Styela clava: one gene and its partners. The protein of the gene in region 4 purifies or fractionates together with the protein of the main gene of each other region. This does not show direct contact. Links are inferred from orthologs where the notes say so. Each region holds a gene or a part of one and is shown on either strand. Other genes may lie near its edges. The genes, in order: transcriptional adapter 3-like, histone acetyltransferase KAT2A-like, WD repeat-containing protein 5 and cysteine-rich protein 2-binding protein-like.

Evidence for each region.
Region 1: the proteins of cysteine-rich protein 2-binding protein-like (region 4) and transcriptional adapter 3-like purify together in Drosophila melanogaster (affinity purification with mass spectrometry; 4 studies listed by BioGRID). This does not show direct contact. The link is inferred for Styela clava from reciprocal best matches to the Drosophila melanogaster genes Atac2 and Ada3.
Region 2: the proteins of cysteine-rich protein 2-binding protein-like (region 4) and histone acetyltransferase KAT2A-like purify together in Drosophila melanogaster (affinity purification with mass spectrometry; 4 studies listed by BioGRID, with this or other methods). This does not show direct contact. The link is inferred for Styela clava from reciprocal best matches to the Drosophila melanogaster genes Atac2 and Gcn5.
Region 3: the proteins of cysteine-rich protein 2-binding protein-like (region 4) and WD repeat-containing protein 5 purify together in Drosophila melanogaster (affinity purification with mass spectrometry; 4 studies listed by BioGRID). This does not show direct contact. The link is inferred for Styela clava from reciprocal best matches to the Drosophila melanogaster genes Atac2 and wds.

What each region holds. Positions count from the first base shown.
Region 1 is NC_135257.1:11,362,786-11,370,723, reverse strand, and holds transcriptional adapter 3-like, read right to left. Parts: upstream 3,013-7,938; 5' UTR 2,234-3,012; coding exon 947-2,233; 3' UTR 509-946; downstream 1-508. Other genes in the region: protein RRP5 homolog, read right to left, coding at 1-351.
Region 2 is NC_135256.1:13,952,775-13,960,537, reverse strand, and holds the start of histone acetyltransferase KAT2A-like, read right to left. Parts: upstream 3,001-7,763; 5' UTR 2,989-3,000; coding exon 2,806-2,988; intron 2,193-2,805; coding exon 2,109-2,192; intron 1,782-2,108; coding exon 1,697-1,781; intron 1,321-1,696; coding exon 1,205-1,320; intron 75-1,204; coding exon 1-74. Other genes in the region: transport and Golgi organization protein 6 homolog, read right to left, coding at 3,624-6,722.
Region 3 is NC_135254.1:12,754,777-12,761,897, reverse strand, and holds the start of WD repeat-containing protein 5, read left to right. Parts: upstream 1-4,115; 5' UTR 4,116-4,163; coding exon 4,164-4,431; intron 4,432-4,911; coding exon 4,912-4,985; intron 4,986-5,100; coding exon 5,101-5,280; intron 5,281-5,864; coding exon 5,865-5,948; intron 5,949-6,497; coding exon 6,498-6,676; intron 6,677-6,827; coding exon 6,828-6,861; intron 6,862-7,121.
Region 4 is NC_135251.1:27,511,594-27,519,481, reverse strand, and holds the start of cysteine-rich protein 2-binding protein-like, read left to right. Parts: upstream 1-4,880; 5' UTR 4,881-4,950; coding exon 4,951-4,999; intron 5,000-5,658; coding exon 5,659-5,766; intron 5,767-6,186; coding exon 6,187-6,301; intron 6,302-6,417; coding exon 6,418-6,546; intron 6,547-6,911; coding exon 6,912-7,081; intron 7,082-7,496; coding exon 7,497-7,639; intron 7,640-7,888. Other genes in the region: nucleotide sugar transporter SLC35D1-like, read left to right, coding at 634-773, 1,002-1,070, 1,552-1,654, 2,170-2,330, 2,794-2,955, 3,394-3,481.

The DNA of each region.
Region 1 (7,938 bases), on a different chromosome or scaffold from region 4:
TACTTGACCAGTATTACAATGAGGTATACCAACAACAAGTTGCAGTTCCTGTATCTCACGAATACACCCCAACAGCAGTGTTCCCTCTTGTACTCTTTTGCAATGCAAAAAATCCACATTTATTTCATCCATCCCTTGTAACAATCCATCCACATCTTTAATACCATGACTTTTGATTATTTCATCTTTTTCTTTTGGTTTTTTCTTTTCTTTTGTAAAATGCCCACCCGTAGATGACTTGCTTCCTTCTGAAAACAGAGAATCAACTGCGGCTTGGCGTTTGGCACCCTTCTTCTTAAAAGTCGATGGTTCACGCTTTGCTTTTCCTCTCGGAAATAATATTTCGTCCATAGTCGAAAAATTAGAGTTACGAATGTAATTTAACTTTTACCAAAATTTCTGCTGTATAAAAAAGATAAACGAATAAACATTAGGAAAGAAAAAAAGGTTTCTGTTTTACCAAAAAAAGTCAATTTTTCTCAAAATTCCAACAATGTGTAATTTGCAAAGATAGAGAAACAACAGTAATAGAAAATAATACATACTCACATCACATAATATCATATTAATGAGTTCTCATGTCTTTTCAAATTAGGGTTTTAAACTACAACTCGTAAGTTGTGATACAAGATATTGCAGGAACAATTGACAAACCAAATTACTCAGCATCTATTCAAAATGACCATGGTATGTTTAGTTTTGATAAACAAAATGCATATAAGATTACTCAAAAAATTTACCATTGTCAGGGAAATGTCATGATTGTTTAAAATATGAAACACGTTATTGTAAAAATAGACCATTTAGATTAATTGAATTCTAATTACCGGTATTGATATTTCAACATCCCCATACACGATAGAGGTTGTGTGCATGGGTATGTTTACCACGAGTCCAATTAGATTCAAACCAAACTTATAATCTGTAACTGTGCGTTGAATATAAATCAGTTCAATTGTTCTAACTGTTTGACCAAACTTTCTCGTTCTTTTATAGCTTTCAATGCACTTTCTTTTTCCTTTTTCATCAAATTTCTTTTTTTCTGTCGAGCAGCAAAAACCTTTCTGTAATGTTCAGTAACTTCAATGTTTGTTATTTCAATATTTTTTCTCAATTCTTGTTTTTTCATATCATCTCTGGAAAGTTTCAAAAGTTGTGAAACAATTGTCCTATTTCTATCACCTATTGCCCTCAATTCTTGTTGACATCGTTTCAGTTCCAAAAGAACTTCATCTTCATCTTTATCATTTTCAGAAAAATGATCAATAAGACCTTGTTCATATAGTTCAGCCTTTATTCGGGCCTCCAGTTTTGTGGTATGGGGAGAACTAGATGCCTTGCCATTTTTGGAAGCAACATTTTGGTCATTGTTCGTAAGAGCTTCAAATGCTTTTCCATCATTGGCAAGACCAGAATCCAGTGGCGCTATTATATTTTCTTGCACGAAAGCAGAAACCAATCGCTGGGTAAGTGACCCATATGGGCATGGTTCTGCATCATTCAAATTTTCTGCTGTTTTTTTCATTATCCTCTGAATAGATGACTCAGTATTACTATTATTTTTTCCAATTCTACCCCCTTCTTTTTCCTCCATTGCCAAATCTTCTTCTGCCCAAACTTGACTGAAATGTTTGCCAAGAGGGGGAATTTCAAAATATTCCTCAGAAATTGGTTTTTCCATTTTCTCTAAAAGCGAAATTGTTTCTTGTGGTATGGGCCCACAGTATGTATCAACCATTTGCCAAAACTTATTAGGAACTTCAGCATTCCTTTGTAAAACGGGTAATTCGTCATTTGTTTCTGTTTCAATGCGAGAGCCTTTTGCCTTCGACCTGCCAGCACCACTTGGTGATGACGTTGAACTATTCAAATGAAATAAGGGTTTTATAGCATGAATATGAGATGATGAGTCTGATGTTTTCATCTTTTTGACTGGACGATCTTCAACTATTCGAGAGCGCTTATGCTCAGTATCTTTGCCTCTGGAAACTTTTTTGTCTTTTTTATTGTCTTGTAGGTCTGACAATATGCCAATCTCCGAGTTCAATTGTCTCATCCTTTGTGATGCAGCGGCAAGTAGTTGTTCCAACTCCATTTGTAAAGAATCTAATTCATCCAATGATACTCCATCATCTTTATGCCGATTAACGATATTTGTGTATCTTGGACAATTTTTAGCATGATCCACAGGCTTCACATCAGGAAATTGTAAGAAACAATCTTTCAAGTCCATTGCAATAATGTTACTGTATTATACAAATGCCAATACTATATCAAAAGTATGGTTTGTTAATTAGAGATAAGGTTAGAACTATTAAATATGCACCATTTTATTTAGGATGCATGATTGCCAATCAATGAATAGTAAAAATTAAGGTTGCAATACACCTTGTTTTACTGGACATGTTCTGATTTTCGCCATTCAATTTATTGTGAAATTGAATGTATGTAGGACACAGTGCTTAAATTCCAAGATGTTCCGACATTTGATTCAATAAAAATAACAATATATGTATCTGAATGAGGGTGTTTGACACTACGGCAGGCAGATCACGTCATGCTTGTCTCAATGATAATTTAAATCAATAGCAACGTGCGTGATATTCTGATAAAATTTATTTCCTTTGATAAATCGAACTATTTTTTTCCGGGGTGTCCAATGATGATGTTTTGAGGATTGCACTTCTTTTTAGTTTATTGTGCGGTGCCGGTGTGCTCTTTTGTGCCGATATGAAGGCCCAGATTGTCTCATAAAAGAGGGGGTTGCATTCACTGTTATAATTGATGTCTCTTAATGTGGGGGCTATTCTTGGAATCAGAGAACTGTGCCGTACTGAACGTGTATGAAATAAAAACAATATCTGAGATTTTCTCAGGTCACTTAAAACGTATGAAATATTGCAGAGTCGATTCACTAACAGTATTTCATTGTGACTGTGAATTTGGATATTTTAGAATTCAACCTTTTTCATATAAAATGTCATTTTTGCAACTTGAAATTGTTAGTCAGTAATTTCTGCGCTTTCCAGAGTACAATTTAGACAAATTAGGAATGTCAAGGCCAGGGATTGATAGAGAGCCCTGGCAGTCTTTATTTTATGTGTCTGTATTGAGTTGTCTACTTATGTTGGTGACATCAACAAAGGGTAGGTAGGCTACATCTCTTTTCTCGGTGACTACATGAATTCAGTAGGGCACATATTTCTGATTCCAAGATATCCCGATATTTGGTTCAATAAAATAAAAACCTTATTTATCTCTGAAACGTGGACGTCTGGCACGATGGCAGATCGTGCCCTGCTTGTCTCGAAAATAATCTAAATCAATCGCGGCCATCACATATTCGAAATTGAGTTTTTTGCTAAGACACTTGAACGTTACGCGCACGCTTAAACGATATAATATTTTTTTTTTATTCTGTAATTCGGTTTATTTTTTTTCCAATGGATCCGATGGTGGCGTCTTTAGATCACACTTTCTTTTAGTTTATTGCGCTGTGAATTTTGCCGATATGGAGGCACAGACTGTCCCGTAAAGGAGGGGTTTGCACTCACTGTCATAAGTGATGTATTTTAATGTGAAATCTATTTTTGGAATTGGAGACCTGTGGAATTGCAAAGACTTTATGTTCTCTAGTGCCAGCCTCCATCTACTTTTTGTATGGGCCTCTTTTGTGACTAATCTCAGAATTCAGGCATGTCTGTCAGTAGACACACATTTCTGCATTTACCTACCGGTACCTGTAACAGTAATATGGCTCTATGACGAGATTTTACATTGGCGTAGTAAGGTGGGGTCTAGGATAGGATTTACATATCTTTATCCATATGGCGAACCACAACCTCTCGTCCGGTTACCATTTCCATGTCAGTTAGGGATTAGTGATTTGTTTTTCGGAAGCATGAACTTGGAGGAAGCCGTAACCGACCAGCAGTTACGTGAACCACCCTACGGCGGCGATAGATAATGATTTATTTCCGATACAAGTACATAATACAGTAAGCATAGCAAACAACAATAGGCATAAAAATATATACGGACGAGGATGGACAAGAATTCAAAGGTCAACCGACCCCTAAGGAGAGATTCTACCAGGACAGGACACTCTAAAGCAGGCATCATAATTACAATAAGAGGATAATAAATTTTTGAGTTTTAAGCCCGTTTAGGAGGCCTCAGAAATCAATTCCCCAAAAGTACAGAAATAAGAACAAAAATTACAAGGAACAAGAAACGGGAACATCACATAATTTCGCAGATCATAATGTTTTTTAATAGGAATAAAAAATGTGAAAAAAAAGAGAAAGAATAAGAAGGGCGTAGGGCCAATTATAATTTCCTCAAATTTAATTTTACTTTATGTTAGACAAGAATCAAATCGTGACAATGAGGCAATTTCTGAATGGGTGAAAAATTTAAAATACCATATTTCCAAAGCTATATAGTACATATAAACACTTCAGACTATTTATAACAGCATCTTCAATAATTTTCACCGAGGCATACGAAAATCCATCTATAAAAATGGTGAATTCCTATCCATTTTGTGAATCTGATAGCATACACGGAGATTTGGACGATATTGCATCATACTGTCATATTATAATCGGCCAAGGCGCCAATAAACGCTGTTTTAATTTGCATATAGGGTGGTGGTGGTATCAATCAAAGAATAAAAATTACAAATGAAAAAAAGAACATCGCATGATTGTGCAGGAGGAGTCCAGCAATCCTCACACACCTAATCATACCTGCGAACCTGCCAACCCACGCAAAGTAATCAGAGGTGTGATGGTGAGCGTATTCCTAACACTTAGCACGATGAGCCACACCGCCGCGCGCGCCTAGGAATAACATATGCGAAAATGGTTAGACCACGCTCACCCCGTACAGTCTGACAGTACGGTACCGGTACCGGTACCTATCACTGTACTGTACAGCTGTACCATGTACCGGGACTGTACACCGTCTGACTGGTACCCCCGTACCCCCGTACGGTACCGGTACCGGTACTAAACAATCATTCGCCAAAATAATTAGTTTCATTGAATTCAATAAATTAATGATACCGGTACGATTCCGTACAGCACAGTCGTGCTGCACCTGGCGAGAGCCTAGTAGTGACATACCGGTACCGGTACTGCTTAAATTACTTAAACTGTCAAAGACAATTACCACAAAACCAGGCTGCCTGCAACTAGCGAACTATCAATCCTTGTTGGGGGTGGGCGGTGTGGAGCATCGTGCGCCCGAGCAGTTCTTACCACTTCATGGCGGTTTCTGCCACGAACGAACCGCGGCGTCTCATGCCATGGTTTTATGGCGCCATGGACCTTTCCCCGAGTATCGACTTTCTTGTTTACTTCGTGACATTGGCCAATCAGCAAGTTGCAAAAAGTGACGTAACAATGCCCCCTTATACTTATATACTTATACTTTTCGCATCCGCCCAGACATTTTTCTTACTCAGACAGATTTTCAAGCGTGGTTGTAAACATTACCTCGTTTTCGCGTTTTTAAACTCTATTCGTGAGTTTTTAGTTGTGTTTCGGAAACTTGAATATAAATCAGATAATTCAATGATCACTCTGTCTTCCCAGGAGTTTTAATTTAATTGCAGTAATAAAAATTAGTGTAGAAATAGCTGTAATAGACTAGCTTGAAATCCTTTACCGGTACTTTAAAAAAACAGATTGTTGTATGCGATGAATTATAATGATGATTAGAAACACATACCCCATTTTACAGGCACCAACTCGCAAAAGCACTCTTAAAATAGCCCCAAAAATTTTGCAATGGTAAAGTATAGGAAGAATTTCCGGGGGTCAGAGGTCGGGGAAAGGTCCATTACCGCTATATTCACAAAGTCATGTACCATATACAAGTTTATCATGGGGAATTATATCTACCTAAACATGAAACCTAATCCCAAATCTAGCACGGGCGATTTATCATTTGTCTGGATCGGTACGTTACGGCTGTACGGTATGGGGCAGGCGCAGAGAGTGTTTCAGTAGACTATATTCTACGAGACTATCCGTATCTCCCATTCTTTCATGAGTGATTGCATGGGTACCGGTACGGTCAGACGGTACCGTACCGGCATCGCACGAGTGTCCAGACAACTACGCAGTTAAGCAGCATTTTCCAATTAAATTACCTTCTACACGTGAAAACAAATTTTCGTATCCAATTCTATATTCTCTTATCATTATTATAAATATATTGCTTGTGGTTGAACTTGTAGTATGGAGAATTTATAGAACATTTTCATGTTGAATTTATTGGATATTGCTCATGAAAATCAGTAGTGAGTTAGAAACCAAGGAAACACATTTGTGCGTGTAGGATTAAGCCTGACAACGTTGGTCCCAAGCAGCATCAAATTTTTCAAAAATAAAAACGCGTCACAACGATGGGCCACGAGGCGGACCATCGTTGTCAACCTTTTTATTTTCTTTTTATTCAATTTTTTTTTTTTAATTTCAATTTTTTTTGTTTTTTTTTTCAATTTTTTTTTTTTAATTTCAATTTTTTTTTATTTCTTTTTTTCAATTATTTTTATGTTTTTTCACATCTATTTTTTTATTTTCGCTTTTTCATTTTATTTTATCATTTTTTTTTTTCAAATTTTACACGTGACAACGATGGGCCACCATACAGTACCGATACGATATGAATCAGTTCGCATCAGACAAATTGACTATAGTCACTTTGGCATCAGATCATGCTGGTCTGCGTGAAGTTTATCATGGAAAACTGATCGAAGCTGAGGATAACGTGAACAGTCGAACGTCAGATGTAACGGATATTTGATGATAGATTCCATAAAAAATACTGTTTACACTTACACAGTATAAGTTCACAAAGCACAGGGATTTTGATGAAAACTAAATTTGGAATGCCAGGACGTGGAATGCTTTTGTTGCATTTCACTTCATTCGTTGTTGTTAACTTTTCACGCTGCTTTTATTATTGTCGTTATCGTCCAATAGGCTATTAGTTGAGTACATTCAGAATCACATCAATTATCACATATTGGTTAAAAATGAGAAATTCGCATCCCCGTCGGAAACAGTCGCCGCGATTACGAGCTCGTTTAAAGAGCGGCCTTCTCAGCGTAAAATGATTTTTCTGTCGCGTAAAATACTTAATCCATTACAACTACAAGAACCTAAAATGTGCTTATATATTAATTTAATTCAGCCCAACATAACTCGCGGTTGCGTCTTCTTCTGTCAAAATAAAAACAGTAGAGGGAAAGTGGGGAAGGTTGGGACACTTTTTTTCTTTTGCATATTTTGAGCCGTTAATTCTGCATATTCTCTTAAGTTTGCGGGACTAATGCATAGAGGGGTAAATGTAGTTTTTATTCAGCAACAAAGAAATTCCCTTGCGACACACATCTTACTACCAAAATGCTTTGAAAAACGTCAAGTGTCCCACTGTACCCCACTTGTGGGGCACAATCGGACAGACCCTGGGGCACAATGGGTCAGTCTGTCAAAATTCAACGAAGTATGCCCTTAAAAATAAGCAATTAATCAGCATAATCGTCTAAAGTACGGGGAGACTTCGAATTTGAAGATTTAATATTTTTAAAATCAATGTTCAACTGAAATAGTTCAGATATTTTGACAAAAAATTTTGCAAAAAAATTTGATTATTTCCTTCCTCGAATCTAAATCTGGAAATATTATTGATTCTCGAATATATTCCATATTGGGCCATGGGTCGAAAGAAACCATTATATTACATAAAATATAACGCATCTCTAGGTCTCTAAGCACTTATTGTATCAAACACTGTCGAATTGTGCCCTGTAGAGCATGTCCCACTGAACCCCGGTCCATTGTTCCTCATAGGAAACAAATACTTTCAGACCATCCCACGGCAAAATTCGGAAGGCACAGCCAATCGCTAACGTTCGGAATATTT
Region 2 (7,763 bases), on a different chromosome or scaffold from region 4:
TGGTTGAATGGTGGTGAACCAAGAGGTCCCTCTATCACTGGTTTACTTGACTGAATGATGCATTTTCTTAACAACTGAAACAAAATAATCAAAAATAATAAGCTGAGTATCCAACAGTTAAATAATTACTTAATTAGCATGTGATGACCGATGACTAGCAGTTAAAGCGGTAAACTTAAAATCGGTATGGCCGTCGCCAACTTGTGTTCAAATCTCACACCCATTAGAGCAGCGATTCCCAAACTATGGGTTGCGACCCACTGGTGGGTCACAAACGGAATCTTAGTGGGTCGTGAAAAGATGTAGAAAGCATTGGTTAATTATGCTGGTTATTAGGATCGGTGGCGACTCGAATACGCAAATCTTTAAAAAAGCAAAAGAAATTAAATTGAATTTAAATTCTAATCTGTGAAAGTTTCTTTTTTACGATCTTCTCAAAAGAACAAAAATTTGCTACACAAAGAATGACCATGTGGCTTTTTTTTTGCATAGCAGTTTTGTACACTGCACAGCACTTCTTACCGTGTTTCCCCGAAATTTAGACAGAATTTAGATTTATTTTCTTTTGAAGGATAACACTACGGTTTTTTTGGGGAAAGGGTCTTTTGTGTTCATTTATTGAAAAAAAAATTATATTGTAGAAAATCACAAGATGTTTTACTAAACATTATATAAAAACCGACATCCATTGTTTTTATTTGTATTTGCTATACAAAAATCAAGTGACAAATATCATAATTGTGATATTACACAATCTTGAATAGTGGTGTGATTTTCACCTTACCTCAGGCCAATGAACCTTTCTTCTCCCCACAAATTAAAAATTATTTTAAGGGTAGGGTTTAAATAAAATCATTTTGAAAATTTAAATTATTATCTTATTTTCAGGCCAGGTCTTATTTTTGAGGAAACACAGTAGTTTTGCGGTGATTAGCCATTGCTGTGTTTGTGTTACATCATAAAAAAACAAAAAAAAACTGAATTAGAGTTAAGTGGGTCGCCATAAGCTGTGGTAATAAATAGTGGGTCCCATCCCAACTCCAAAAAGTTTGGGAACCACTGCATTAGAGTGTATTAGGGCTTAGGCGACATTCAACCACATAGATCCTTCCAAAAATATCTCTCCTTAAATATTGATATATATAATATGCCGCCACTTGGTGGTTGTACAGAATAATCAGTAGAAAAACATTGCGATTCTCACTCTGAATAAATAGAAATAAACTTGTTTGGAATCACCATCTTCTTCCTTCTGAACACATTGAAAAAGATTTTCAACATCAACAACCATTCCTAATAATCTGTTGATTTCATCTTCTCCTGAAAAAGTATTAAAACAAAAATTTCATTGAATATTGTATTGCCTAGTTGCAATCTTCTTCAATGAATCAATGTGGACATAAATATGAGTAGGACTATACTAAATTCTATCATATTGTAATCATTTAATGAGCAAAATCTATCATTTAATTAAATCAAAAATGAAAATTTGAAGATAGCAGAGATATTTAAAAGCTTATAATTTATTTCTACACCTAACCAACGAGATAATGTTTAAAATCAATTCAAAGTTCACAAAACTAAAATTTTCGACGGAAGAGAAGTAAATTATCCGTAGGCCTACATATCATGATTTTGATCCCTAAATGCATAACAAAATAAACACATGACATAAACTGTTAAGAATGATGCATACCACTCATTTCCAAATGGGAAACATGATTCTGCAGAGCATGTGTACAACTCCTGCATTTGCTTTCTAACGTCACTGTGCTTTGAACCTGAAAAACGAATAAACAAATCAGTAATGGCATCAAAAACAAGTATTTTTCACAAACACTGCAAAAACTTGGAGGTTGCAAATTGCAGATTGAGTAGTAATCACCCGCCATTCCGATCTTCATCCAGAATAAGTATCCTTTTCATCAATCTTATTTCTTTAATTATCACACCATAGAATCAATATGAAAATCCATTCCAATGTAATATATTATCAATAGTCCACCAATATTTTGTGAAAAGTTGGAAGATTTGGTCTAGTTGAAAATAATTGCCCAACAGAAATAAGGGATTATGCTAATAATTTTGAAACCAACCTACCACCTTACCTGTTGTGATGAAGATGCATCAGGTTGAGCTGTTGCTAATTGATTGTAAGGATTTTTCCAACCGTTGCATTTACATCCTTCATCCTGAAAAGTCAGAACAAAATAAATGAAGCAATTAAAATAATTTGACATATGATGAGGATCGCTAGGCAATGGCACAATATAACCCGAGAATCGGATTTTCAAAGCTGTAGTTTATCACAATGAACCTTAGTCATTTTTGAACCTATCCCATGTGAAAAAACACAAAGAGGCATGAACCAATTTTTTTATCGTTGGGTCTTGAGAGAATGTGGTCACAAAGATGGGAAGACTTTTTGTATTATGCCACAGCATAGGCGTTGGTACAATTGTCTGATGGAATCCGAACTAACTGTGTCTGTATAAAAAGTATACATGTAGCCTATTATATTCTCCATAATGAGAGTTTCAGTATAGAAATTTCATATTTATACTGAGGGTAGGAAAGCCAACAACTGAATCAAATTGCAAGCCACGGCCTCTTGTCTGGTTACCAGTCCATGCCGGGGGCTACCTATGACAATGAGTAGTCAAGTGATCCTCTCAGTCTCTCACACATAATTCTTATAATTTTTACCAACCTATAGTAAGATGGATGGGATGTACCAGACTTTAAAAGGAAAGGTTGAATGAACATCATTTAAAAAAAAATTGATCAGCACTGATGTATACTAACCTTACATGATGAGTAAACACCAATTTTCTCAAGTTTCTTAACCCGTGGATAACCTCGAACTTGTGCCTTACGTTGTTGGATTTTTGCAAGGTTGGCAGATCGAGCTAGTTCACTTGGGACGAACGACTGCCGAGAAGATTTCTTTTGTGACGTCTCAGCTTTCACATTAGTTGAATTATCCATGTATGTTGGCTATATCAGTATTCTACAAATAGGTGGAAACATAAAATGTAAGAAATGGAAAGTTAAGGAAACGTGTCATCTATCATCAAAGGCATCAGGATCAGGACATTTACAAAAATTGTAAAAAATAAACAAATAATTGCACATTAAAAATCATTTTCATGTAAGAACATGGCTGATCAGTAAAAAATACTTATGCAGACTAAGATATTTGTCTTATTTGCAGAACAATGCAGCAATGTAGATTTGGAGTTGGATGTTTTTGGCATTGGAATTGGATCAGTGTTAAAACTTCTCGGAACCGCAGACAAGGTCGAAATATCAAATTTTTTGGTTTTGAAGTTGACCTTCCAGAATCAAAATAGTGATAAACAAAATCGAAATTTTAGACAGAAATTCATAAAGCATAAATCCGCATTGTAAACACGTAATTCATAAGTCTTGCCAAAACCCAAATTTTCGTACCAAAATTTAGTTTCATCAGAGTTCGAAACTGGAGTCTTCAGGTAACATTTTTGTTAAGTAGGTGTCAAGAGCCAATATTTAAATGAATAAGAGTTTGGAATCAGGTGTACGGTTTCCCAGAATCCGAGTCCTGATAGGCTAAGTATAACGATACAAACAAAAATTTTATGTTATATTGGCAACACTGTAATTTTCTTTGATAAAGTTTGCTTCTTAAAAATGGTTTCACGCATTATGTTATCTAGTTCTTCCAAAGCAAGCTGAGCATGTAGTTGTACCGCAGTATCCTCATCTCTTTCATATAAAAACTTCAATGTTCGATACATTTGTTTTGTAACATTAGAAAATATCTGTATAAAATTGCTACCAAGTTTAGTTATAAGATTACGAATAGCATGCACAGCTGCTCTACGAACCATAGGATCAGGATCCGATTTTGCAGTACTGCTGAGACACTCATTTATTTCTTGTTGTATTTGAGATAAATAATATGGTGCCATAGGTGCAAGTTCAGAAAAATTTGATAAACAACTTGCTCTCATGTCAGGATTAACATGTCTAGAACCTTTCAGAAACTCTGGTAATAGTATAGAAGCGTGATACGGTCCCATATCACCCATATGCCGAATTATTCTCATTATAATTTCACCCACTTTCATTTTTGCATCAATGGTATTATTTGAATTATTTTTTTGGGTTTTGGTTTCAGAATCTCTCATAAATATATTGATTAACTTTTTTAGGAGAGACTCTGAAGCAATATTGCTTACAGACAAAGACCCGATTACTGCTAAAGCTTGTACAGCAGATAAATAAACAAATGAATCCTGGTTGTCCAAGCATTCTACAAAAATTTCAACCAGTTTGTCCAATTTTTTAAAAGCAATTGGCAGTTTTCTTTCAATGCATTTAGTCAAATAACGAATTGAACCTCCTTTTATGGCAGGACTGGGGTCAAATACTTCATCTAATGATTGAGAAAATGATAGATTGAAATCTTCTTCATTAGCGATAGAATCAGTCACTGAAGTGGAATGAGTCTCTTTACTACTATTCTTAATGGTATCTTCACTACTTGAAGACTGATCCCTGCCAGAAGAATTCAAAACAGTATCCCGATCTGTATCAACAAGCAATGGTGCTGCTTGCGATGGCAATGTAGTTTCTTCATTACATTTTGGTTGGGTTTCTTTACTCAAATCCATATTTTCAAACTTTTTCATTTGTTCTTTCATTAATACTGAGAATGCATCCATTGAAGTTTCATTTACAGCGCCATACGTTGATATTGCAATTGTAAGATCCGACAACAAATCTCTTGTATGTTTATCCAAATTATTATTACCGCATATTTTTTGCAACAATGGAACCACAGACAACAGTTCACTCTTTTCTTCAGAGGTCATATCGCTCATTAGACATATTCCCAATACACTGGCACAAGTTCCTAACATTTCGAGTGAATTATTATCCAGACTTTGCAACATTGTTTTGATAAAGCTAATTATTTGAGAAACATCAGAAAGTAAAGTGTTCGGATTGTATGTCTCACACATTGTCGTTAATAAACCGAAAGTAATAAATCGAGTCTCGTTATTTTTCAAAGCTTGAACAGCTCGATCTTCAGGTGTCATTATAATTTTGTCCTCATTAATTTCATTTGGAAAATTTTTCGATGGATCGCAAATAATTTTTAAAAGTGAAATAAACACAACACCAATAAATCCGCTATTATCCATATTCGATAAAATGTCTAGCAATACATTTACTTTAATATCTTGATGTTGTAAGACTTCTGAAGGTTCAAAAAATTTGTTGTTAGCTATTGGACAAACGTTTCCATTTGCATCCACTTCAAACTTCAGATTAATCAATGGAGTTTTAATCCCAAGTTCTGTGCTTTTAATTTGCCCGTACATTGAAAAAAACATTTCCTCTGCTTTCAAGTCATCTGAACATTTTAAGGATTTACATAAAAGTTCTTTAGTCAATAAGTTTAGATGAGAAGAAGTTTCATTTGTATCACAAATCAACTGAAAGAATATTTTCAAATAGGGTTTGATGAGTGCAGAAAGTGCTACATCAGGAACAATTCCGATGGAAATACAAATATCATGTAAGTTTTCAATGCAGTCATTTATTTCTTCAGAAGAAACATTTTCATGGAACATTTTTTCTTTTCCGATTGTAAAACAGCATTCCGACAAAGGTTTACATATGATACTTTCCAATATATCCGATTCTGAATGATATTTTTCGTAAAGAGCATGCAGAGTAGTAACAGCTACTTTTCTGACAACATGCATAGCTTCAGAATTGTCTTTTCGCGAATCAGAAATCAACTCAATCGCTTGATGGCCAATCGAAATACAATATTTTTTAGCAGGAATACCCTTCGAAGGAAGGGTAGAAATAATTGAAGAAAGTGCAACTATATGCTCCCATCCAGCAGTTTTGAAATCAGAATCGCGCGAGTTTTCGACAACTGCAGAAATAATAGCTTTCATGCCCTCTTTTTCCAGCAATGTTCTTGATAATATTGATCCACATTTCTCTCGCAACCATTTTGGCGAAAGTCTTGTTTCTGGGTTTCCTTGTAGTACAAAAATCTCTTGTATAAGACGGCTTTTTGAAATCCATGATTCTATTATTTCATTAAGAACTTGTAAACATCTTTTTCGATCTTTCATGTCTATTAATCTGGCGGAATTTGGAGAAAAACATAATTGCATATAAGATGCAATAATCTCAGGTAATAAATTCTTGGTGACTATGTTTCTGATTTCAATGGCTTTGCAAATAACATGGATAAATAAGGAATTCTCAAGAAGCATTCCATATTTTTGTCTTGGGGTAAATTCAGTATAGAAATGTGAAATTTTTGAAATCATAATTCCTTGTATACTTGGTTCAAGATGAGATACAATGCCAAATTTGAACACAAATTGCAATAGGCAAGACACATGATCCACATCTGCGACTGATAAATATGGTCCTTCAGAAAGATTACCAATATTCTCAAGTTCCTTACCAAGTTTTAAAAGCAGAATTTGTATACACTGTATAAACTTTTGTAGCACAAAATATACTGATATTTTTGCCTGAGATTCAGAAAGTTCTACACTGTCAAACTGTATTTCGCTCTCTTTCAACAAATTGATAACAGTTTGATACATTCCTTCCAGGGTATGTACATCACCACTTGAAACTTCATGTTTCAATCTGATAACATCAGTGACATTTGCAATCACAGCCTTGATATCATCCATTTCTCAAATTAGGCAAAATAGATAGAGTTGAACTGCTGGACAAAAGAGGAATTGAATTAAGTCAGATAATTTCATATTTTATATGCAGGTGAAGACAGTTCAGAGACAGAGCATTAGTAACCACTCTACTAACTTTATGAGATTTTCACAGCTATATTAACCAACGGCTGAAATTCTCTGTTGAAAATAATATTCGATCTATAATTGTCATGCAGCCGACTTTGAGTTAGGTTGGATGTGCTAAAACTAAACTTTCGGGTCATGAGGTGGCATAAGACAGTTCGAGTTAGGAGTTTGATTCCCATTGCAGCCTTGGGAGTTGTTTAAACAAAATAATAAATAGATATACAAATACATCTGTAGGCTACATGTAAATTTCAGAATTTATGGGACATTTGGGCATAAGTTATTCATCACAATTCTGCAATTAGACAGTAGATATATATATACTGGCCATACTATGCCCAAAAATTCCACATGTCAGCATTTATTTGTGTATTATTCGGTTAATATTTCTGAATAGACTAATCTTCAAGGGACTGAAAATCCAACTCATAATAACGTCTCTTCACCTTGGGTACGGAAATTCTGTGGGCCCTTAGTGGGTGGGCACAAAGGTCAGTAGATTATATCACTAAAACTGGCCATGCATTTTCAGACCATTCAAAAACTAATGCCCCACTATCCATCAGAGTAACCCCAGCTAGCCCACACTCACGCTGCAATCAAGGGGTTAAAGTACTTGCGATCACGGGGTTAAAGAACTTTTATCCTTATCTTATCCTTATACTCACTGTAAAATCGCTATTCAATGAAACCTTAGTTGGCTGGACGAGCAGACTAGTTGGGGTACCGGTATCATTGTTTGTATCAACAAGTTACGATACATAAAAGTTACATACTTTTAGTATTGACGTTTGCAGTTTTGATATTTTTCCACATTCACCAAACTCTTGGCAACTCCTGCACCCTAGCACTTCACAATCATTTTTTGCAGTCGATGGTCAATTCCAATGTTTTGTAGTCTATACCCCGTGATAA
Region 3 (7,121 bases), on a different chromosome or scaffold from region 4:
TAAAAATAATAATAAAAAATGAATTAGTTTGGTATAGACAGAAGGGAGTGATATGACCAGACGGTCATCAAAGTCAACTCCCCCCTTTCAAGCTATTATGTTTTAGATCCACAGTCACAAGTGTGTTGTAAAATATCGTGTGGGCAAATCAGATATATATATTAAAAATTGTCATCCACTCAAAAATGTACCGTAAATCCAATTGTTTTTCCGATTATTAATTTGATGGACTCTGATAGATTCGGCCATCGTTTTACAAAACAGTCTTTCAGTAACACAACAGACAACGAGTTCAGGCAGGGTGCTCCCGAAGTATGCGAACCAAGATGGCGGACATCGGAACGTAACATAGGTAACAGGTTAGGGTTAGGCAATAATTTTTTTCCAATTTTCCTTATTTTAGTCCTATTATCAGTTCGAAGACTAACCAAGCGCCACCCGTAGTATTTATACCTGAAATTATGGCCTAACCCTAACCTAGTACACATATTACATTCCGATGTCCGCCATCTTGGTTCGCATGCTTCGGGAGCCCCCAGGCAAGAAGTACGGTGCTGTAGAATAAAATGTTTAAATTAGCGATCAAAACTATAGAATTGGATAAACAATTCCATTTCACAAATAACTCAGGCTGACGTCTGCAAAACAATTTCGATCGCGAAAATTTGGGCGTGTGCAAGCTTTCTTATTTAAAATTGACTTCGGACTATGGCCTAATTTTTGTTTTATTTCATGTTAGAAACTATCCAAGAGTCATAATTTCCTATAACATATGAGAATGCATGTGTGTTGCACGAGAAATTATGTATATATAATTTAGTAGAGAGTATTTCACGTGCGCCGAATTAAAAAAAAACTTCATTGTTTCCAAATTGACTTGATGCCCATTAACCGTTCCGAGCCTGTCAAACCCCTGTGCTACTCGGCATGCTCTAACCGAACCCCATCGTACTGAACGATTGAAATTTGGACCCCAATACTAACTTTATAAATGAGAAGCTAATTTCGTGCAAGGTTTTAGAAAATTACATTATGGTCTAACTATAGATACCAATACCCCGTGTGTAAATAGCTCTTGTTTTGTCACAATAGTGCCGTCGGCAGGGAAAGCTGATGTTTTTGTTGTATAAGTTATGCGTGTGAAAAGGCGCAAACCGGATAAAAAAATAGCAATTTTAAAAATCCAAAAGACGATAATATGCCTCAAAAACGTTGGTAGTTCAAGTCATTCGATTCTCAAACTTCAAACTGCATTGAAATGCAGATAAAAAATTTGCCAATTGTTTTATTTTACAGAAATAGAGATACGATATGACTCGGCGCCATATCGAGGATGTCTGGAACGGATGATGATAATTTCAAGCAAAGCTCTGCAATGAAGTATTCTTTGTCGCAAATTTACCACCTAGTGAAATTCAAACGCACCCTGATTTTGCATTCATTAACCGCCAATCTTTGATTTTTTCGTAAAACTGATTATAAATTTATTAGTACGTTATAATAGATAATCATAGATAAGTACAAACACTAAAGCGCGCGACATCTGTGAAAATATGAGTTTCCAATAAAACATACTAGAATCTAAAAACATCGACGGGTCTACTAAAACTTATATATGCGCGAAGCTTTACACACAGCTAAGCTAATTTATTGGATGTTGAACGTTTAAGTTTTATTATCTGCGATCAACTATAGTTATTTTTGTATAATTAGTGGACGAGGTAATGTAAAAGTTCCATAATATAAAATGTTTCCGAGGACCTTCGTCGAACCTCAGGAACAGCTCCACCGAACCCCATGGGTTCCATCGAACCCAAGTCAAGAACCACTGCATTAGTTGGACACATTCCAAGGAGTGGTAAGCGTCTAATTGAACTACTTCGCTGTTCAATCCGCATCGTCATACAAAGCTAACGCAGAGGCCAAGATTGTAGTTTATGTCAACAAAAACACGAACGACTCAAACGGCTAGTGACTGTCTCAATCCGCAACTTTGTGTAACATAAGCTGCTTGACCAGCGGATCGTATGACCCGTACATTCAACAGGTCAATGTAAAGTTCCGAATCGCCGTGAACACTGCCTTGTTGCCGTCAGAATTTTCAGCTGAGCCTAGAATGGGGAAATGCAGTAACCGACACCCAACAGGGGTCAACGTAACAATTTCAGCTCCCACTCAGACCGTGTTTTTGTTGGGGCAGATTTTCAATCGTGACTGTAAACATTAACTCGTTTTCGGAGTTTTGACGCTCATTTGTCAGTTTCTAGTTATGCGCCATAAATTTAGGTGAAACTAAAAGAGCATATTTTTAATTTTGTTTCTGATAAAGACTTCGTTTGATTACAAACAGGCCTCAATAAACTGAGATAGACAATGTTAATGTTAGCTGTCGGTAATTTTCCTTAGAAGTGGTTAAATATTTCAATCGAAGTAGCTTTTTTGAACATCGGGTTGATACGCTTACAAAAGCAGCAAATTTCTGAAAAACATCCAAACGTCATATTAAAATGCAAATTTTCAAATTTATACGGTCAGTAGCAAATGATAAATCTAACTTTATTCAATATTTGAAGATCAGAAAAGGCCGATTTGGTTCTTCAGATAGGATTTCCAACCTTGATGCATAAGTTCACTTCACAATTGCAATTTTAGACTCAATGCAACGCTACCCTACTTTGCTGACCGATGGCGCTGTTTTTATGAGATTTGTAGAAGTTAGGATAGGATAGGATAGGATTTACATATTTATCCCGGGGGAGAGGAAAGCCGATGAGACGGCTTATCCATATGGCGAACCACGGCCTCTCGTCCGGTTACCATTCCAAGTCGGGTATGGGATTAGTTTTTACTGTATTGTTTGTTTTCGAAAGCATGGACTTGGTGATGGAGGAAGCCGTAACCGACCAGCGGTTACGTGAACCACCCAACGACGGCGAGGAGTCCAGCAATCCTCTCGCACATAACCATCCCTACATGGGATTCGAACCTGCGAACCCACGCAGAGTAATTAGAGGTGCGGTGGCGAGCGTATTCCTAACGCTTAGCCCGTTGAGCCACACCGCCGCGCCCTTGAGCCACACCGCCTACGCGTGTTGATTGTCGTTTTTTGTGTGGCGCTTGTCAGTTTGTTACCGCATATCGTCGGATAATCTGTATCATTTGTGTACGTGAAATTAGGTGTAACTGAACTTTTTAACTGCTGCCTGCTGACCTAGAAAGTTGCAGCATATCGTTTGTTTTTGTACTGCTGTACTGGGAGGGTTGGAGAAGTTACGAATGCTGAAATGTGATCTCTTCTTGCAACACTGACTCGGCTCTATCACAATGCTGCCATTCAAGATTATTTTCAAAATGATAGTTTCCACATTCAGACCTCGTCAGTTCGTTCTAATATTACTGTATTAAGCGCTTAGCAAAGCAAAAAAGTAACCAAAAAGCTCACTAAGCTAAAAATTCATTTTTAAACTTTTTATTTTGTTCAGCAATTCATTCGTTTGATGTTCATTTCTGTTAATGAAAATCTGCTAACTGCTGGAAGGTTTCATGCATAACTGTATATCATAATGAAACATGATATCATTTTGGCCATTCTCCTAAATTCTGAAATTTGCTAGAATTTCTAGCTAACAACAGAACAGGGAATTAACTTACAGCTAGTACTGTAGTAGCATATGTCTGTATGTTGGAATCGCGTACCAGAGATTAGAGATAAATATTTCTATAATACTGTAATATTTTTTAATATCTAAGAGATGTCATAATTCTGTTTCATTGATTCCACATTTGCAAATTCAATTCCATTTCTTCCAACTCATTTTTTACAAAGCCAAACTCTTCTGACTGTCTGATGATTCTTTAAATGAATTTACTATCATCAACTAATATGAATACTGGAATACCTATAATTTTTGTTGTAATTTGATAGATACTTGTAAAATGCCTACTGCTCTAAATGTAACGGCGATGTGTGTTATGCCATATGCCCTATATTATTTTTTTTTCTTCTGAGTACAGGAGTAATTTACAGATGACTTTTCAAGAGATTTATTCATAGTCTGATAGGGATAGCAGGATAGTGTTTCATTAATAATCTTATCTTTGAAATTTTTAAATATGCTTTGTTTTTAAATAGTTTTTAATAGTATTGCTAACGTTTATATACAATGCCTGAGAATACCCCATCTGGCGATAACAACTCCAACCAGCCAAAGACTGAATCAACTTCAGTTCCACCTGCACCAAGCAACAATGCACCCGCAGAAGAAAACAGTGCTGTAAAAGCTTCTACAGCTCCCAAACCAGCATCAACAAGTTCATCGAAGTCTGTACAACCCAAGCCAAACTATACACTCAAATTTACACTTGCTGGTCATACCAAAGCAGTATCTTCTGTTAAATTCAGTCCAGATGGACAATGGCTTGCAAGCTCATGTGAGTTGGTAGTGGGTGTATAGTTGATGTGAACATACAGACTATATCTATTATTTTTAATAGTAACAATACCACCTCAATTTATATCTGATATTTGCCTTGTTTTACACTGTTATAGGTTTGCAATTGTTCGCTATTTCAGTTGACAACAGTGTTTTTATCCGAACATTCATTGACAAATTTAAAAATGTATGATTCAGCTAGAAATTGGAAATTTATTGTCTCTCAGTCTCAACTTGGATTCATCCTTTGATAAAAACTTTGACATCCTTTGACAGTTTAAGACTTGTCTTCTCTTTTTTAAAGATAGATTTGGTGGGATATCATACGCACTGTGTTTAAGCTTTTATATGTTTTCGACTCAGATGTTGGTATGAACTAAAGTATACCGTATTGATTGTTCCAATTCTTGTTGTCTTATAGTGCAAATTTGATTCATATATTATTTATATTTGACATGTTATATACTTTTTATCACAGCTGCAGACAAATTGATCAAAATATGGGGAGCATATGATGGTAAATTTGAAAAGACAATTTCTGGACATAAATTGGTAGGCATGTTTTCTATGTTTCAAATAAGACCTCTTTTAAAATATCTAATTTTTGGAAATTTTAAGATTTTTTCATTGTTGGATTATTGTATCAGTACCCTCTGTTTTGTTTCAGGGAATATCAGACGTTGCGTGGTCGTCAGATTCTCATTTACTTTGTTCAGCATCGGATGATAAATCATTAAAGATTTGGGACGCTGCCACAGGAAAATGTTCTAAAACTCTCAAAGGACACAGCAATTACGTATTTTGCTGTAATTTTAACCCTCAGTCAAATTTAATCGTATCAGGATCGGTGAGAAGTTTTCGAAAATTTCATTTATATTTGTGTCTTGTGGACCACAGCTAAGATATCCGAAATCTTGGTCATGCCAAATTCAAGAATGAATCAAACTGCAGTTTATGAATGTGAAGCTCATCTATTGAGTTTTGTTTATGAAACAAGTAATTAGAAGAAATTTTACTAAATGAGTAAAAGGCTGGTAGAACAGAATATTTTTACTGTCCTGCTTTCATCATTACTTATCGATCTTAAGATCGGTAAGTATGTTGATAGGTATTTGTCTGTCTGTCTGTTTGTATGTTTGTCTGTTAGATGAACGCGATATCTCACGAACGCGTGGTTGAATCTGCTCCAAATTGTGCATGTGCATGCATCTTACCTCGGACCAGAAGCCTATAGATTTTGGGTTAATTATGTCGTATAATTAGCGAGTTATTAACTAATTACCGATCTAAGATCGATAAGTCTTCGGTCTCCGACCGATATTCTCGTTCCGATTTTGGGATAAATTATTATTAATTACATATTTTGAAGTAGGGGTAATTGTAAAACTTGTAATTTTTATTTTCTGACATTAATTTATAAATTTTTTGCAGTTTGATGAAAGTGTGAGAATATGGGACGTAAAAACAGGAAAATGTTTGAAGACGTTACCAGCACATTCTGATCCTGTATCAGCAGTAAGTATTACGAGGTATTAATTCAACTCAATCAAATTGAATAAGAAATATGTATGAAAGTAATTTTGTCCAGGTTTCTGATTGCATTATGATTTAGTGAGATATGTATGTATGTTTATTCGTCTCGTAATAGTGATAAAAAAATAAATGAACGATTATTATTATGTAAGACGGGATGCATGCACAAGACCGTACTGGCCTAAAACACAAATGTGCGGCATGCACCCTTTTTAACAAATATAAAACAAAAAACATTAGATTAAATATGTATATTATGGTCCCTTATATAGACAGTTGTGCAAGGTGGGGCAATGGGTCGTTTGGTGTGGTGAAAGTGGTAAGGGTGGAGTATACAAAACTGTTTATACTGTTTATATACTTTTTGTGAAGCACATATATTAAATGTTTTAGCATAAGACAGTTAACTGTTATTCATTCAACTAATATAACATAAAATACACGGTTGAAACATATTCATTGCTGAGGATATTTGGGCATTTATTGTTTTATCTTTGTTAGAGGTCAATGTTAATACTGTTCCATACTCAGGTTCATTTTAATCGTGATGGTGCTTTGATTGTGTCCAGTAGTTATGATGGACTTTGCAGAATATGGGACACTGCATCTGGCCAATGCTTAAAAACTTTGATAGATGATGACAACCCACCAGTCTCCTTTGTTAAATTCTCACCAAATGGAAAATACATTCTTGCTGCAACTTTGGATAAGTATGATAGCTTGAAAGCAAAATTTTACATTCCTTTACAAATCAAATTCAGTATTTGAACTCTGTCAATTAATAAATCAGTCAACACATGGAATTACTTTCGATATGCAATTGTGTCATTTGTTTAATTTTTCCTTTGTTTTTAATTCCAGCACTTTAAAATTATGGGACTACACTAAAGGAAAGGTAAGTTGGTTCACTTTTATTAGTGTGTCAGTTCAGTGCCACTGTTTTAATAATAGCTGAAATGAATGGGTCTTTGTTCCTTATCAAATATACAAGCACAATAAGTTACCTTTAAATATCAACAAATTCTCCCTGTGAAGATTCACAAAGAAAACTCACCCATGAATGGCAGATTTCCTCTTGCGATGTTTAATTGCCTATCTTACCATATCTCATATCAAAAAAATAAAAAACCGTCTTGCTGCACACTAACACAAATA
Region 4 (7,888 bases):
AAAATATTAAATCAAGTTTTAACATCAACATCTGGTTTTTGGGTCACATACATTTATTGGGTTAACTCATGGGATGCGCAAAATCATGTAATGTATGAGAAATATGATGTGTTTGTCAAAAATTGAGGCTTGTTTCAATTAGAAAATGCCAGTGTCACCAATAATTATTTTCATTTGCCAACTATATCATGATGCTGAAAAACGTAAAAATGATGCAATACCGAGTTTTTGCAGTGACATATTTATCACTGTCTTCTTGTCCTGAATATGCAGACTAACAATACTGTGTTTGGGGCCGACTGCTTCTATGTGTGTTTTGCAAGTGGACTCGAGTACTACCTAACAAGAGAGATTTCAACGCAAGAGAAAATGCTATTCTATGATTAATAAATTAGATATTCAAATTACAAAAATCGTCGCATGGTGCAAGGATGCTTAAACTGAATTGCATTAACGGATCCTCCAGATTCTGTATTTTGATTTTTGAATTGCCCATTCTTAGTCAAGTCATTGCAATAAGATTCCAAATATATAGGAGTGGAATAGTTATGCTCGCTCACCTTATGCTTGCTCACCTAGATGTCACCCATGCTCTCCACTATATTTATTATCCGAATCTGTTTTTATTTCCAGATTTTTCCTCTACCTCTCATATATCTCGCCAACTTGATTGCTGGATTGGGAGGAACGAAGAAACTAAGTCTTCCAATGTTTACTGTACTAAGAAGATTTTCTATTTTGTTTACATTGATATTAGAGTTCTTTGTACTCAGGTATATCTCATGTAGAAATATTTTTCACTCTGCTTTTGTTTTAGTTTTTGTGCCTCATTCAAAATTTGGCATTACTACATTGTATTGTGATTCGTAGTATTAAAAAGTCAATGTACAACTTTCCCATATAGTCTCTCACTATTAAATTTGGCAATATGAAATATTTTAGTAATTATATCAAGAATCTGAATGTATTTGTTATTGACCCTTTAATTCCTATAATATTAGGAAGAAAGCAAGTCGAACTGTCACCTCAACAGTCTTGATGATGATTGGAGGATCAATTATTGCTGCAAGGTGAATCAGGATGTTGTTATAGTTTTATAGTATATTTAGTTTGTTTCTACAAACAATAATATAATGTCATATTCATATTTTGTTTTGGTGATTGATATCATGAATTTCCATACCGTGATAGGAAAGTAATTTTTCTAAATCAATTTCAATATGACTGACATACCTACTTTTACTTCTAGTAATTAGTGTATGATAACTGTTAAACTTGACAATGTATTATCTATAATATGCATTGCAAATACATTTAGATTTGCAATAATTGAATACATTGTGCATCAAAAAATATAATAGGGTACCTGGCACGGAGTAAAAAAAACGTTTTGAATGTGTTCCAACTTGTTTCAATTACAGTTTGGGTATAGTTTTATACAAGAATTAATATTAAATTTAATGATAAGTACCTTTTTATATCTGATTATTTTTTCGTATATATTTGTATAATTTTGTATTCAAGTTGATCTTACTGATTTTCTATTTTTAGTGATGATCTTGCATTTGATTTGGTTGGATATACGTTCATTATTGCTAATGATGTTTTCACAGCATTAAATGCAGTTTTTATGAAGAAACTTCTCAATGCACAGGTATCTGAAATTATGCATTCTGTTGTGCATGAAAGTTGTTTATTTAAAGAAAAATTGTTTGCTCCCAATTTTAAGATATTCTAAACTTATTTAGATTTGGACCCAGGGAAAAAAATTCTGGTATTTCAGTTTTCATCACTCAAAAAATTACCTACCGGTAGTTGAATTGAATTGCAGGGCACAGTTTGTTATAGGAATTTTTTTTATAATAAATACTTTTCCGAATCTCTTACCTGATCTGCTTAGTCATATATATTAATATATATTCAAATATAAATTGAATATTTGAAGCATTGTTGTGAGGAAAATGTGTTTTATTTATCATTTATTCTCTGTTCAAACCTTTATTCCACTTTCTTGTAGTATAAATCTGATACGCTTTGTTCTTCTATCTCATTAATTGGCTCTTACTTTTCTATGTATAAATATGTAGGCTATATGTGTGTATTTTTTTTACTTCAAGCTAAGCTCATGAATTAAACTATGTTATGACATTCTTTTTCTAAAATTTTCAGGATCTTGGGAAGTATGGCATAACATATTACAACTGTTTATTAATGCTTGTTCCAGCTGCCTGTATTCTTTATTATACTGGTGAATTAGAGAAAGGAATCTCCTATCAAGGATGGGATGAATTTGCATTCGTTTTCCAATTTCTTCTCTCATGCGTAATGGGGTGAGTTTTTTGTTTGTTATATGTCATTGTTATCTAAATTAAAATTCGCTACTAAATACTTTTGCTAACAACTCTTCATATAGCTAATAAGTCCCTGAGATGAAAACTATGATCAATAAATCGCAAGATTGATTAATTCTTGATAAACTGCATAGGCATAACATGTGATACAAACTCGTTTTGAATATACTGCTCATCCACAAAATCCCCCTCATTTTCACAATAACAGAAACTCTACTTGATAAACAACAAATTGATTATTTGAACTTAAATTCCTAATGATATAAATACTTTGCAATGTAGTTAATTGATCAGTGATTTAATATCTTTAGTTTACTCATTCTTTGCATTCATTCAGGCATTGAACTCCTTATCGATTGGATTGCATAAACTTACAAACAAACAAAATGATTAAATATGATTGTACCTTTTATTACTAATTAGATGACATTGCTTTTTTCAGGTTCATCTTGATGTATTCAATAGCAGTTTGCACAGCTTATAATTCCGCATTAACTACAACTGTGGTCGGTTGTTTAAAAAATATCGCAATAACATATTTTGGAATGATGTTTGGTGGTGATTATTTATTTTCTTGGATCAATTTTATTGGCGTTAACATAAGGTAGGTCAGCGATTAAAGTTGTTTCCTTACTATTCTATAAAGCATTTATTTGCAATAATACAAGGTGACCCAAAAGAAGAGAGCGTGACTTTTGTGCAAACATGGGGATGCTGACTCTGGTGACAGTATGGTCCTATCGCTCCCCACAGTCTATACCAAAAAACTTTGTGTATGTTGTAGTATATTTTCATTTTTGTTGCAACTTGTGATGCTTGTTTTTTCTGGCTGACAAAATAATAAATCTCTCTTATCCTAAATTACTGAAATGAATTGCCTAAATTACTGAAACAATCATAGACAAACAAACAAAAGTTGAAATTATTTTTAAGCATTGAACACTTTCATGGGATTAAATGGCTTCGTTTTGTACATTTCCTATATCTTATTTCAGAACCACCATCATTGTTGAGTTAAAAAATTTTTTTTCATTCATTTCAGTGTTGTCGGCAGTATCGTTTATTCAATATTTACGTTCAAAGCTCAACAGGAAAAGAACAAACCAAAAAAACAACCACAAAGTTTATGATGGAAATCTATTAATGAACTATTTTTATTAGTTATTTTTAAATTGAACTTCAAATCAAATCTTCATTGCACTGAGACATATCCAACTTATAGAAATTATTATTTACATTTGTACTATTAGTGTATAATATGTAGGTGCATATCTAGGGGTGGTTTTGTAGCCTAAAATGAGTTTAGTTTGGAGAAAAAAATTCAGTTTTGCGTGAGATTTATTATTCAAACAGGTTATGTTTAAAAATCATTTATTGTATAGTATTTCAAAATTTAAAGAAAAAATATTTCCGATTTAGAATATTTTGACATGATAAAGCTGCTTAAGCTAAAAGTGCCACCCAAATATATAATGAACATTGTTACGATTTATTTTTATCTAAGTACAATTCTAAAAAATGTAAAAAGATTGTGTCCAATAAGTTAAGTTTTTATTAACTTCCATTAATCATTTGCTTCATCTTCAATTCTTTAATTTTTATTGGTTTTGTGCCTTGCTTATACTTGCATAGTGGTCATTGTTTTCTTTCTATGCTTAGGTGCTGATGAGAGAATTTTTAATTTTATTGTTAATTCCAACTGCCTTACCAATTTTTCTAAATATAGAGCAATTGTTATGTACTATTTAACTTTGATAATAACTTTATATAAAATATATTATATCAATATGGCTGGCATCGTATTGATACTTCTAAAAAGTGTCAGTAAAATCTTTGTAGATTTGTGTAATATCATCAACACTTCATTTTATACCTCACACAAGTCAAACCATATGCTTAATATGATATTTATAGGCATAGCTATAATATTTCTGATGTGATATGGCATGTAGTATAACAATATTCTCCTGCATTACACTTAATATATTTATAATTATTATGCAGTATATCGTGCATCTATGTAAAAAAATATTGGGAAAAATTTAATTTTAAAGTATTTTTAGCAATCTAAACAATGTGTTAGCTTTTTGTTTTTGACCAATATTCTTAATTAAGCTGTCTCCTATTTTGTGATTAAGATGATTGCCATGGATATCCATGTCTGAATAGTTATGAATGGTAACTCAGCGTTGTGTTTTGGTTTTGGATATTGTTGCCATCTAGAATTCTTCCTTTCAATTAATTTTGATTTCGAGAAATCTAACAGTATGATATTTTCCCACTGTTTTATGACACTGCCGTTCTTATTGAGTTATTGCCAAAAATTGGTCTCAAAAATCCTTTTTGATATTCAAATTCTTATTACACAAGTTTTAGGAGTTCTTACACTACCCTTTTCAATAATCCATGTAAAATGTTCATCCTTTTGTATTGAAAATTTCTCGTTTCTTAATAGATTTGGTGATAAAAAAGGTTGTAGGAGAGAGCTTGTTCAATTGTAGATTAGCCACTGTTAATCTGTGCACGTAGTTCATGTTTTTAACACTTCCAATTATTTATTATCTACATGTAGTTAATATCATTAGGCTAAATCGCAACAATGTCTGACCAAGAACAGATAGATGTAACTACAACAGAAGACGCTACAGGTTTGTGCTGTATAATTTAAATCTTACACGATTGTTTTCATACCCTAGCCAGAGTCTAGGGGATCCAAAATCGGAATTTGAAATTCTCACGCAACTAAAACGGTCATCATGATTTCGCCACTCAATAAAAAGCTGGCTTTTTCAGCGGATTATGATTTGTCCGTTGCGCAATACATTCAATTCACAACCGATACGAGCATTTAAAATGTCTTGTCCTGTTAATGTAATTGTGTTCAACATAACTCGAGGTTACGTTTTTGCACCCCTCTGGCTGCGCCACAGACTAGCCTCTAGTATCAATCAGTAATTGGTAGGAATTTTTAATACTTTGTAACTAATTTTGATGTTCAGTTTAGCTTGATGTTAAAACATGTTCTATTAATTGAGCTGGTTATACCTACACCTTCTTTTTAAAACTATCTTATTATTGTTGCAAATGGTACGCGATCCCCTACACTTGTAAGTAGGGTTATGGAGTGCTCGCAACTTAGTCCAATTGCACTTGTCAATGGCTAATGTTTATAAAGCTGAAGCACTATTCATATCTTGGTATCCTACATCAGTGATTTAATGAATATGACCCAGCAGATTTCTTTACTGATCCATTCATGTCATGTATGAATTTCTGTGTTTTGTATTATATTATTTCTTGTTCTTAGCAGAGCCTTCTACAAAGACAACTTCATCAAGATGTGGATATTGTGATTGTGAAAAAGAAGGCTTACCTGTGTTTCATTGCAGTTCTTGTGCTAAATGGGTTCACACAAGTATGTTGTAACATATGGGTTTTATTTTATACCGTTTTTGATTATAAAATGAATGTTTTTTTTTTCTTAAACATGAAGAAATATATAACATACCGGTAATTATGTAAAAAGTTTTATATGGATGCTATTCAAATTGATGTTTTTGAAGATTGCAAATTTGTGTTATTGATTTGTTATTATATTTGTTCAATATTCTTATGAGAAACAGAGATTGGGTATATTTGTTTGGAATGTATTTATTGACCAACTTTTTTTAAATGCATCCCAAAATAGTATTTTTGAAACAAAAAAATTGAAAGTTTAACAAATATGAGTATGTATTCTTGAAGGCATGAAAGTTGAGATGAGCAATGATTTGAGTGTTTCTTTAGAAGTTAGCTTTTGGAATTTTTCGTTAATATATTCCATTCTCTATGACAGGCTGCCTTCGTTCAGAATCACCATCCCCTCTATTGTTCGATAATTACTACGTATTCAAATGCATAAGTTGTTCTGAAGATGGAAAAGAAAGTTTTATTAGAATGAGAATAACATGGTATGGGAATTTCATTTGATATTTTGTAAAAACATTCATCCAATTATTTAGCAAATTAAAAAAAAAAACAGTTTCTATTTATTATATTATTTATGTCACCAAATTAATTTTGACAGGAACCAGGCAACTGCACTCTCTCTTTTTAACATGGCCCAATCTGATCCTGGGAAACAAGGATTTTTCAAATGGAAAGAAGATATTTGTGATTTTGTTGAAACTCATTGGGATGTATTGTTCGAGTCATAGTGAGTTTACCTTATAAATTTTGTTGTCAAATTTATTCCCATTTAAAATATTAGATTTTACAGAAAAAACTGAAGAGCTGTAAAAAGACAGGTATAAATGTTTTTATGCAGCTTTTTTACGGCAGACTTTGTACAATTAGCCACTGGTACATAAGGAGCTACTGTTTTTAGAAGGCTCGAAATCCTTCCAGTTTGACATCACCGTGAGGTGTGGTCTTAGGGTGGTCTGCATGACCTTTAATTAATTTGCAACACCAATATTTCTGTTGCTTATAGGCTATTGTGCCACTTCCTATTGAAATACTTCTGCAAGGATACTTATAAGAAGATTTTGCAAATAATTTTGTGTAATATCACGTTATCAGCAGGATGAAAGTTGGGGCTTGGATGAATACCATTGCATCAACCATGTCAGCTGGCAACCCTCATCAATTTACAAGTGGATATGGATTTTTCAAGGAATCAGGATGGTGGAAACTAACTGATCCTACCAAACCCCCCGAATACACTCCATCTAGTGATTCGAGGTTCAGAGGTATTTTAATATTTTTTTTTGCTCATCGATTTTGTCGTGTATCAGATCATAAGTCAACAAACAAATTCTTTCAAATAATATTTTATTGTCAACAATTGTCGGTACCATACTGCTATTTGCTATTTTCTCTTTGTTTTATTCAACAAAGTCTTGCTTTGTAGTTAAAACAGCACTGAGGTTAGAAGAAGACCAATATATTCTGTAATATAATAATTTGTTGATTTAATTTTGCCAATCCAATTATAATATTTTTTATTGATATAGAATTGCACAGAGCTTTTAGAACTTTTTTTTTTTATAGAACAGCACTTTTACTTATTTCAATTACTGACTGATTTATTGATTGACTGTGTGATATATTTAATAAGGTTAGCCAATGTTTATCAAATCATTTGTTTATTATTGTTTACTTTAGAAGGAAGATCAAAAAAATTTAAATCTGGATCAGCAATGACTCCTTCACCCAGTCTAGGACGAACAGAAGGATTAAGAAAAAGATCTTATTTGTCATCTGCGTTCAACGCCTCACAAATTAAAGAGAAACGAGCTAAAACACAGGTAAATGCGCAGAGCTGAACATTGAAAATATAAAATAATGTTTCAGTAAAACAGAGTAGGATTTTAAATAAAGTATTCAGTAAATTCATGAACTATGTCAGATGTTGAAAGCAAAAATGATGCTGTTTTAGCTATCTTTTATTTGCTCTTGACGGTTAGCAAGTAGTCAAAGTGGGCGGAGTCTATATTTGTTTTGGCGTTATCCATGAAAATATCTTTTCATGAGGTTACATCTGATTTCAGAAATTT